Linked DNA regions of Arabidopsis thaliana. The protein of the gene in region 1 interacts with the protein of each later gene in a pairwise test. Each region holds a gene or a part of one and is shown on either strand. Other genes may lie near its edges.

Region 1 (4,790 bases):
GCGTCTCATTAATTATTAAAAAAGTACTTCAAAAAAGTGGATATACGATTTTGAAATGATAACGATTTCCTGACGTCAGAAAAAATCCTATAACAAACATTAATGTTTTTTTTTGGTTAGTTAAGAGACAATAATATGTTACATCTACCAAAGAATATTCCAGTTAAGTTAGTTAATAGTTGGAGTCAAACTTAAACGAACAACGTCGCCTACAAATCTGGGGGTATAAGTTATAACCAACGGCCACCAACATGGGTTTTGATATCGTCCACCTGATTTTTATGTTAATATAACTCAATTTGATTGATTAAATATTATGCTCTTATACTAATCATTCTAGGTCCAAAACTGAATCACTCATTGCACATCATTTTTATGATTTTTATTTTGAAAATCTCATGTTTCAAGAAATATTTGTGCATTCTACTAGTAGCTTATTTTAAATAAAGTTTCGAGTTTATATAATAAACAATATGTTTATTTCTTTGATTTGTATACATTTTAAAAAAAAAAACAGGATGAAGATATATACAACTAAAGCTCAATTCAACTAGTAGGAAAATTGTATTCTACAAAAAATTTGTGTTTATGTTTTTATTATGATAACCATCCAAACTCATTATTTCACCCATGATCAAAGTAACTATATCAATATATCTGCAACAATATCTGACTCAACATTTATTTTTACATAAACTGCGGACCAACACAATTATGCTAAACTATCATCATTTATTCTATTGGTATTGGAGATCAGTCTACGTCAGTGAATACCGCATAATTCACATGAAACTAACTCCAAAACCCTTTAACCAAAAAAAAAAAAAAACTAATTACAACTCCGGTTAACCTGTCGATAATTACAAGACTGAAAACATCCTAGTCAGTAAAAAACATATTTGTATGTATCCGATCCCACCAAATAAATAAGTTGTTGTCAATGATAGAGGAAGAGAAAACGAAAAAAAATTGCGGACCAAGACATTTGGGACTACTAGAGTTTAGGGAGCATAAATGGTCCTATTTGACTTACCCTCTACCGTATAAATAAATGTATTTTAGCCGTATAAATGTATACATACGTAGATGCATAGGTATACAGGATTACTTTAGACGATTTGATGTCGGTATGACATTACATTTGACTCCCCTAGCTCCACTTGTCTCTGTTCATTTTTCTTGTATGTCATTTCCTTGTTTTCCAATTTTACGTTTACCACCCTATTTTATTTTGTTAATATTTTCTAAGTCAACGTGTTGACACTTAATTACAGAATCTGATAACTAAAGTTACATAAAATGCTCACAGTTTTTTTCAGCAAAATACTCACATTATACGACATATAAAATTTTAGCAGTCTATAAATAGTAATTATTTGGCATTAGTATTGGACAAGAAGTAGAATATAAATTAATGTTGGTTCTTTTTTCTATCCAACTTCACACAGCCAATTTTGTAGCTGACATCGTGAATGGACGACTAAACTAATCATAAGCATAGTGATTCAGTTTATACAACAACAACAAAAAGTTAATTACATTTGAGGTTTCTTTTTAAATTGCTATGTTTGGTCCCTAAATGATGGTCATAATAAGGACGGTCCGGCGGTGACGGAAACGCGTAAAGACTAATCATTTTAGTACTATTAATTTGTAGAATTATTATTAAATATGCTTGAATCCTAGAAAACGATCAAATAAATTTTGGAAAGAAGCTCAAAATGTGTTATTTAATTTTGTCCCTATGTAGAGCTGGTTTTTTTATTTTTATTTAAACATAATCCTAAGATTTATTGCTGTATGTGTGAATGCAATAATAAATAGAAACTCAATAATAGATCATTCTTATTTTCAAAAAGAAACAAGAACTACTGCAATGTTTTAATTGTTTATTTTGTATTAAATAATATAGCTTGTTAATTATTGGAGATCGCATTAAATAATAAAAGAAGTTGTCTCACATGTCTTGGAGAATATTTACTAAAAACTATGGTAATGTCTGGACGGTCAAAAAAGTCTCTCTAGTTTCTGATTCTGTTGTCACATTTTATTTTTGAAATTAAATGTCGTTAGATTATTATTATCTATATATATATATATCCCAACAGACCCATTGCTTCTCCAACCACATCTCACTCTTCACCAACTTAAACCCTAATTCAAGATCTCTTCTTTTCGTTCTCTCCTTCACCCACATTAGTCTTCTCTACGACCAAAATCTCTTGACTTTAAAAACAGAGAATGAAACAGCTTTCGACAAAAGTGACAAGCAATGGTCATGGACAAGACTCATCCTACTTCTTGGGATGGGAAGAGTACGAGAAGAATCCTTATGATGAGATCAAGAACCCTAATGGGATGATCCAGATGGGTCTAGCCGAAAACCAGCTATGTTTCGATCTAATCGAGTCATGGTTAACTAAGAACCCAGACGCGGCAAGTCTCAAGAGGAACGGTCAATCCATTTTCAGAGAGCTTGCTCTATTTCAAGACTATCATGGCATGCCTGAATTCAAAAAAGTAAGCTTCTTTCATTTTTCTCAAATTCAATAAAGAGAGTAACCTGACGTGTATCACAAGTAATGAATCCATTTCTCATGAACATTTTCTGTCATTTTTTACAGGCTATGGCTGAGTTTATGGAAGAGATAAGAGGAAACCGTGTCACGTTCGATCCAAAAAAGATTGTTTTAGCGGCTGGTTCGACATCTGCGAATGAGACTCTCATGTTTTGCCTTGCAGAGCCTGGCGATGCTTTCCTTTTGCCTACTCCTTACTATCCTGGGTAAATTACACTTCTCCTCTTTACTTGGATTCCAAGTAAACCCAATAGAAATATATGCTTACGTCTAGGCTTTTTTATGATTACAGATTTGATAGAGATCTTAAATGGAGAACCGGAGCAGAGATAGTACCCATTCACTGCTCAAGCTCTAATGGCTTCCAAATCACGGAATCAGCTCTGCAACAAGCTTACCAACAAGCCCAGAAACTTGATCTCAAAGTCAAAGGAGTTCTTGTCACGAATCCATCTAACCCACTTGGCACTGCGTTGACCAGACGTGAACTTAACCTTCTCGTTGACTTCATCACTTCCAAGAACATTCATCTCATTAGCGACGAGATCTATTCAGGCACTATGTTCGGGTTTGAACAGTTCATAAGCGTAATGGATGTCTTGAAAGACAAGAAACTCGAAGACACGGAGGTTTCAAAACGAGTCCACGTCGTTTATAGCCTTTCTAAAGATCTGGGACTTCCTGGTTTCCGTGTGGGAGCGATCTACTCCAACGACGAAATGATCGTTTCAGCAGCTACAAAAATGTCAAGTTTTGGTCTTGTTTCTTCTCAGACACAATACCTTCTCTCTGCATTGCTCTCCGACAAGAAGTTCACTAGCCAATACCTCGAAGAGAACCAGAAACGACTCAAGTCCAGACAGAGACGCCTCGTGTCTGGTCTTGAGTCTGCAGGGATTACTTGCCTGAGAAGCAACGCGGGTTTGTTCTGTTGGGTCGACATGAGACACCTTTTGGACACAAACACATTTGAAGCAGAGCTTGACCTCTGGAAAAAGATTGTTTACAACGTGAAACTAAACATATCACCCGGTTCTTCATGTCACTGCACCGAACCGGGTTGGTTTAGGGTTTGTTTCGCTAATATGAGCGAGGACACACTCGATTTGGCCTTGAAGAGGCTCAAAACTTTCGTAGAATCCACAGACTGTGGACGAATGATATCAAGAAGCAGCCATGAAAGGCTCAAGAGTTTGAGGAAGAAGACAGTCTCTAACTGGGTTTTCCGGGTTTCATGGACCGATCGTGTACCTGATGAACGATGAAATTATTCATCTCCCTAAGTTTGAGACGACGAACAAAAGAAAACTTCACGGTTTTTTCTTCTTCTTTATTTCCTTCATTTTTTATATTTTGGGAAAGTATTTTTAATTTTCCAAGATATCTATAATCATATCATTATATATGTAATATTTTTTTTAATGTTTGGGTGAGTCTTTAATTTATGCAATTTTTCGGGTGTAAAATTGTTACTATGTGTTATTATATGTTTTTAATGCACTCAATCCGAATGTGGATTTGCAGTGGCTATATATATAAATAAATATATATCCCGTTGTAATTTTAGTGAAACGTTTGTGTGTATTGTACCCATATATAAAAATGTAATTCACTCTTTTTAGTTTATATATATTTTGTTTTATAAATATGGGTTTCTTTAATTTTATGCTCTATCATTTGGTATAGTTTTTGAGTTTGTTGTGAGAATTCTCCTCTGACTATAAGGCTATAAAGATCGTGTTAACGTTGTTGGTTAAGGACGTTAGTTGAGGCATATCAAAAGGAGGCTTAATTTAATGTCAATTAACTAATTAATTAATCATTATATGGTAATATGGCGGGAATTGTCGAATTGGTCAACTGAGAAAGCAAAAGGGGAAAGTCAAAGGTTTTCCACTTAGGTGAATCAAGAGAGAAGGTATGATCTACTTGTCGAAAATATTCGATGAAGCCTAAATAATTTAGTTAAAAATCGACTAAAACCCATTAACAATTTCGGGGTAAAGGTAGCTTCTAGCGTTCTACGGCAGTAAAGTTTTGAGCTTTGAATAGGTACGTTGCATTGCGTAAGAATGTTCACGTCACATATTTGAACTAAAATTACAAGTTTACAACGAAATCCACATTTTTTTTTTGTATAATCAAAACTTACTCTATCAGGATTAACGTAATTATAAGAAAAAAATGAGCAACTTATGAGAAACCGAAATC
Region 2 (7,129 bases), on another chromosome or scaffold:
CTCTTACTTACTACTACTTGACGCTTGAAGCCATCTCCGTCGGGAAGAAAAAGATTCCTTACACCGGAAGCTCGTATAACCCAAACGACGACGGAATACTCTCGGAGACATCTGGAAACATCATCATCGACTCTGGAACGACACTGACCCTCCTCGAAGCTGGTTTCTTTGACAAATTTAGCTCGGCGGTGGAGGAATCAGTGACCGGAGCCAAGCGCGTGAGTGATCCACAAGGGCTTTTGTCTCACTGTTTCAAATCCGGAAGTGCAGAGATCGGTTTGCCGGAGATAACGGTGCATTTCACGGGTGCAGATGTGAGGCTGAGTCCGATCAACGCATTCGTGAAACTGAGTGAAGACATGGTTTGCTTGAGTATGGTTCCGACCACCGAGGTTGCCATCTATGGGAACTTTGCTCAGATGGATTTCCTAGTTGGGTATGACTTGGAGACGAGGACGGTGTCGTTTCAACACATGGATTGCTCTGCGAATTTGTGATTTGACGGCGTCGTATCGAGCTTATTTTATATTGTCCATGATAATCATTTGTTTGTTATGGAGATGTAAAATCAGAATCAAAGCTTAAAAATTATCCTTGCTAGTAAAAATAATTACCTTCTTTCTATATTGATCTTCTCATCGATATTATATGATTGGTTTCAACTAGTTCCGAAGTACACAACATGTATAATAAAACTTAAGAAAGCAAACAAGAAAGTATTATGATAGAGAAATTATTCAGATTCTTAGGAACAGTGTTTCTACAATGGATGGTCATATACATTTTAATCTCATGATCAGATCAATTGAGGCGTGTCACCAATCTACCAATTCAAAGTAAAAAAAAAAAAAAAAAAAGGTACCGACTATGAATGGCTCGAGAACTTTGTACTGTAAAACTGAAAAGGAACTCTGAAAAGAGAAGGCAGACAGACTTTGTGAACGTGAGATCAATCGGAGCTGGAGTCGTAGAAGTCGCTGGGGCAAGGAGTCATAACTTCGGATTCAAGTAACTGGACGACTCTGTGCATTGTTGGCCGCTCATCTGGACTTGACGACACACACTTTGTTGCTATTGATAGAAGTGCGTCGAGACTCTCTCTCTCCACTCCTTCACAGCTTAGATCAACAATCTCCTTTGCCCGGTTTTCGCTGATTAAGAAGTTTAGCTGCAAGATTATAAAAAACAAAATTTAAGCTTTTACTAGTCAATATTATTATCTAAGCTGGATCTCGTTATGCTTACCCAACCAACAATGTTAAAGCCTTTCTCGATGAATGAGGCATCCGTGGGAAGTTTACCACTCAAGACTTCAAGAACCAAAACCCCGAAGCTGTAAACATCGGTTTTCTCAGTCGCTCTACCGCTTTGCATATACTCTGCAAAAAACACTCATTATGAGTTCACGGATTTAGGTCCTAACAGATAGTAACAACAAGTAATAAGCATTGTTATTACTGTGTAATTGAGTACCTGGAGCCAAGTAACCGAATGTGCCTGCAACAATGGTTGTAATATGAGATTCTTCGTCCTCTAACAACTTGGCAAGCCCAAAGTCTGATACCCGAGCCTCCAGATTTCCATCCAGTAAGATGTTGCTTGATTTTATATCACGGTGTATAATCCTAGGAGAACAATCATGATGCAAGTATGCCAACCCTTTTGCCGCTCCTATTATGATATTAACTCGCGAATCCCAATCCAGCTGCTCGCCTCTCTCTACACATTCAAAAATTTCACTTAATAGAATCATAATTCTCCGTTAAGGAAACCCGTAAATATGAAGTTGAGGGTTTACTATGTAGAGCTTCATCAAGGCTACCACCAGGAAGGTAATCATATAGCAGAAGCTTTGATGTGGGTGAATTGCAGTATCCACGTAGATTCACAAGGTAACGATGTTTGATGCTCCCAAGAATCTCAAGCTCCCTTTCAAAAAACCGATCAAAACCTTCATTTAACTTAACAATTCTTTTCAGCGCAAAAACATTGCCATCGTCCATAGACAGCTTGTACACTGTGCCAAAGCCTCCACAGCCTATTATGTGCTCTTCATTAAGAGATTCCAGTTTCTTGATAATGTCTTTGGAAGCGTAGGGCAAATCTCCATGGAACATCACTATAGACGCACCTGGATAGAAAAAATCGTCTCTTATGGTGTCAAGTTTTGAGAGAAAAATATAACTCTTAGAGAGAATATCTACAATATGAGTCAGCATGGCTCACCTCCACCGACATCTATCACAAGGCTTTTACTCTCAACTCTACCAAGCTTTTTATAGAGAAAGCATCCCCAGAAACACATGAGCGCCACTAGGAGCAGCCCACCCACAGTAGCTGAAGCACTTATAAGCAGCCTTTTAGGGTTATTACCTCCTTGGCCTATAACACGGGAGAAACCAAAAAGCAAACTCATTTCACGCCAAATACTACAGATTTCTCAAAAATTAAGTTATAATCCATATATCCTGACAAGAAATTGATTAAAACACAGTTGCTTTACCTGTTGGAGACCCAGAAGCTGTAGAATTTCCACTGTCATTGCACACAATATCGATTTGTTTTCCACACAAGTTACGATTTCCGTTGAAGCTGCAAGAGTGATTCAACAGTTTACGACTTGGTTATTTTCAGCTACACTGCTGCAAAGCTAGTAACAGGGTGCTATCGTACACAACGTCACAAAAAAAATTATAACTGCTTTGCCAGATCAACCGTAGAAAGATTTATCAACCATAATTTACAAAAATTTGGTTGGGGAAATGGGTATATATAAATTATACTTACGAGTCCCTCGAGAGTCTAGCGAGTAGGCCGTCAGAAGGTATTTTTCCCACCAGGAAATTGTTTGAGACATTGCTTCAAAAGAAGATCAACATAGTTAGTAACATTGACACTCATATATCTACAGGACTGCAAAATAAAATACGCAAGTTAGAGATTAGCAACTCACAATTTAGTAAGCCTTTTCAACTGCCCAAGTGAAGCAGGGATAGCTCCATTGAGATTGTTGTTTGAGAGGTCCCTTCATAAATGAGAGTCAAAAATCATAGTAGTTCAGAAGAATGTAGATGATATGCCCATTTAATATGAAAGAAGCCTAGCATAGATTTACAATTCTCATCATCATATTTGAGAGTTTTTCACCCGGAAAAAATAACACAATACGTGATTAAATATAAGTTATGTCAAACTCCCTATAATTTTTAGGGTTCACCACGACTGTAGAAATAAGTACTTTCGAAAACATTATGTTGTTGCTGCATGGAAGATCAGAAGAACCTCTTGTAGTTCACAATATAATTATAGAGGATACTAAATGGTGAGAGTAGATAGCAGAACAACAAATAGCAGATCCTAGAGAGGCTAAGAAAACAAATCCACTTGGAAGAACGAGGAAAAAAACCACGTACAGGTTTTTCAGCCCGGACAGGTTTCCTATTTCACTTGGGATTGTCCCAGTGATGTAATTATTCTGCAAGTATCTGCAAGGAATAAAAGGACAATAAATTATAAAAGATTCACAACGATTCTTGTCAACTAGCTAAACTTGTGACTGAGTTTATCATCACTCACAAGACGCATCAATATTATGCACCAACTATATAGAAGCAAATAAAGAAAAACACTAGTAATTGTTAGGAAATAATATAAAATTTGGAAAAACAAAACGAGAATTCGATCAGCAATGAAGTGTAATCACACTAATCAGCATAAGTATTTGGGAAAGCCCTTACATTCCCTCTAATGCCGTGCAATTTCCCAATGAGGCAGGTATTGATTGATATAACGCATTGTTGTGAAGCATTCTGCAATGACATGGGAATACACATACAATGAGTAGTAGAGCATATGCTAGACATCAATAATATTAATTAAAAGGTTAGGAGCACATACAAAAGCCTTAACTGATCCAGCTTTCCAAGCTCAGGGGGTAAAGGTCCCCTTAATTTGTGATAAGTAAGACTCCTGCACACAAGAAACTTCAGGAACCGACAAAAGATGCACCACATACTGAAGAAAAAAAAAGAATTTAAACTAAAGAAATTTTAAACTTACAAGGCTATAACTCTTTTTGTTTTTGCATCACAGGTCACTCCTTTCCAGTTACATGGATCAGGATCCTCTGGTCTCCACAGACCAATAACACCATCAGAAGCCAAAACTCCATTTCTAAAACTCAAAAGCGCCTCACCTGGAGAAAAAAAGGATTTAATCCCTTCAGCAATCTGGGCGGAGTAAATGGTGATCATGACTTGTCAAAGACAAAATATAGAAGAGATTAAAGACACATATCGCTGTATACCATCAGGACTAATTGCTTCATTTTCATTCGTTAGTGCAGAGAGAAACGAGATCAAAAGAAACCATGAGCAGCAGCGCTTCATTAGACAGATGCCCATTATGGCACCGTTCAAGCATAATATAGCTACTGCCAATCATCTGAAAGAACAGCCTCCGGAATGCAACACTCGTAGCATATACTCAGCTGCTCCGTGACGCCCAGTCTATCTTCAAGAAACAAAAAGAGACTCCTGAAGTTAAATAAAATAATGTCATTAGACCGTACAACAATAACAGCTGACCCTCATTTGAAACTCTATCAAGCCTCGATCTTCCAATAATCAGACAACCAAATCCTCAATTACAAATCAAGCGTTCCACAACATCGATGCACAACATTTGCATGGTCTCATTAACAATTACAGCACCCAGAACAGTGAGATTATCTAATCGGATCAAATCCACCTCCCAAATTTGCAAAATCAGAAATCGAACCTTCAGAATAAAACCCCAACTCATTATTTAAAGAGGAGCTCGGATAGCTAAAATCGAACTTAAATCACGAAATTCGGAGGACATCATTGCAATCACAGCACAAGAAGAACTGAAGAGTCAACAAAACCATTCAATAATCTAAAAAAACGAAATCGATTCGCCGATAACTCAGACCAAAATCTCACTTCCCCCAAAAAAATGGCGAAAGAGAATGGGAATTTACACGAACCTCAAAATGGATCCGCGAGGAGGAAGATGAAGATGAAGAATAAGACAGAGGAAGAAGACGCAATTGAGCTGTAAAGCAATGTCTTAACTAACAACTTTTTTTTTTTTGTTGTTGTTGTGATTTATGAGAGAGTGAAGAGAGAGAAAGTAGAGTGTGCAGTGGAAATGTGAGATACTTTGGAGAAGGAATCGGCTAGTTACGAGTTTACGACCAATGAGAGAGGAGAAGTGGAGACCACACGTGCCGATCATGACTTATTACACGTGTCGACCGACGCATTGTATAATGCCAGAACTGGACAAGGGCTTGTTGGGTCAGTTAAAACATCGTTATTGCGTGGGCCTACTAAAGCCCATTGTTATTTATTTGGAAGCGTACTGTACTTTACTATCTTTAGGGACAATTCTTGTATTTTCAGCTTTAGCGGATCTTATTCACCTAAATCAAACAAACAAGTGTACTTAAAAATGGAACAAACAATGGACTGATAATCATTATTTCATTTGCTTTTATAATAGAAATCAAAATATTAATATTGGATTCAATCTTTCCACGTAACTTCTTGTTTTGGTAATTTCATCTATGATTCTTATAAATTTGGTACCATTGTAAAAATATGGCTTAAATTTGAGTTGTTGTTTCATGTGTTAGCAGTAGACAAGAAAAGATATCTGGAGATAGAGAGTTACATCACCTAAGACATGAGGATGGAGATGGAAAAGGTGTAAGGTGTGGTGTGGCTTAAATATTCTTGTACTAATTATCAATCAAAGTTTGTTTGAAATTTGAGTATTTGTATTCTGAATTTGAATTAGATATTTCAAATATATTAAAATCCAAAGCGAAATCAGATCCTAGCATAAATATTTAGGATATTAAAATAATAAATTTTAACTAGTTTTTAAATCATAAAATACACAATGTTTTTGAACTTCCATAATCAAACTAATAAATCCATTTTGGTTTACGTGTCTAGTTTTATAGAAAATGACTATTTATTTGTATTTTATAGAAGAAAAGATAATCCAATAAGTAAGTAATAATAACTCATGATTTTGTTGATTTTTTAAAATAAATATTTTTATAACTAAAAATGAGTTATTCATTTCAAAATATTACTTTATTTTCTTAGAAATTAATAGATTGTTAATGTAAATATATTTTGAAAATATTTACAGAACCAACAATAGGAAAATTCAGTACTGTTAATCATTTCCTAAAATAGTTTGAAAATGCCGATCTCTCCACGTGGAGAAAGCAAAAGAAAAACGCTCGTTTTAAGATTTGAAATAATCGCGCGTGTAAACATTTCCAATCAAAACGCGCGTGAAGGGTTTTTAACAAAAAAATTACACCACCGATTTAAACGTAGAAACCAAAATTCCCCCACTCTCTCTCTCTCATTACGCTCCACCCTACTCTTCTTTTTTGTCCTTCTCTCTCTCTCTCTTGCCGGCACTAACAACACGAAGAAATTTTTTTGAAAAGAGAGAGAAAGTTTCCAAGAGACCGTACGAAGAAAAAAAAAACTTGGTATAGATCGATAAGATCGATACCGTCGGAGAGATAATTTCGTGGAGTAATGTCGACGGAGGATGAGAAGTTATTGAAGGAGGCGAAAAAACTTCCTTGGGAGGATCGGCTTGGGCATAAGAATTGGAAAGTTAGGAACGAAGCTAACGTCGATTTAGCTTCTGTTTTTGATTCGATTACTGATCCTAAGGACCCTCGTCTTCGCGATTTTGGTGAGTTTCTCTACCTCGTTTTTTTATTATTATTATGTTAGGGTTTTTGTTTTTGAAGCTCAGATCTGATTAGGGTGGTTTATATCGGTGTGGATCTGTTTTGAATTTGGATTGTTGAGTGGGAATGTGATTGGTCTAGGGTTCCATTTTGCTTTACTTTTGATTGAATTTCTGATTATTATTTTTTATTCGCAGGTCACTTGTTTAGGAAGACGGTGGCAGATTCTAATGCGCCGGTGCAAGAGAAAGCGCTTGATGCATTGATTGCGTTTTTGCGAGCAGCCGATTCAGATGCTGGAAGGTATGGTGTTGTTTATTTTTATTGCTTTAGAAATGGGCAGAGTGGAGTGTTCGTTTGCATGTGAATAATTAGTTT

The links.
Region 2: the proteins of ACS5 (region 1) and FEI2 interact in a two-hybrid assay, tested with the Arabidopsis thaliana proteins (one study listed by BioGRID).

What each region holds. Positions count from the first base shown.
Region 1 is NC_003076.8:26,330,150-26,334,939, reverse strand, and holds ACS5 (ACC synthase 5), read left to right. Parts: upstream 1-2,127; 5' UTR 2,128-2,241; coding exon 2,242-2,520; intron 2,521-2,624; coding exon 2,625-2,785; intron 2,786-2,871; coding exon 2,872-3,844; 3' UTR 3,845-4,194; downstream 4,195-4,790. UniProt on the Arabidopsis thaliana protein: 1-aminocyclopropane-1-carboxylate synthase (ACS) enzymes catalyze the conversion of S-adenosyl-L-methionine (SAM) into 1-aminocyclopropane-1-carboxylate (ACC), a direct precursor of ethylene.
Region 2 is NC_003071.7:14,960,238-14,967,366, forward strand, and holds FEI2 (Leucine-rich repeat protein kinase family protein), read right to left. Parts: upstream 5,202-7,129; 5' UTR 5,009-5,201; exon of another isoform or gene 4,780-5,008; intron 4,536-4,779; 5' UTR 4,404-4,535; coding exon 4,307-4,403; intron 4,196-4,306; coding exon 4,060-4,195; intron 3,970-4,059; coding exon 3,898-3,969; intron 3,810-3,897; coding exon 3,738-3,809; intron 3,486-3,737; coding exon 3,414-3,485; intron 3,026-3,413; coding exon 2,954-3,025; intron 2,860-2,953; coding exon 2,788-2,859; intron 2,593-2,787; coding exon 2,504-2,592; intron 2,383-2,503; coding exon 2,227-2,382; intron 2,132-2,226; coding exon 1,799-2,131; intron 1,720-1,798; coding exon 1,474-1,719; intron 1,380-1,473; coding exon 1,246-1,379; intron 1,169-1,245; coding exon 950-1,168; 3' UTR 614-949; downstream 1-613. Other genes in the region: AT2G35615 (Eukaryotic aspartyl protease family protein), read left to right, coding at 1-497; MOR1 (ARM repeat superfamily protein), read left to right, coding at 6,591-6,753, 6,949-7,054. UniProt on the Arabidopsis thaliana protein: Involved in the signaling pathway that regulates cell wall function, including cellulose biosynthesis, likely via an 1-aminocyclopropane-1-carboxylic acid (ACC)-mediated signal (a precursor of ethylene).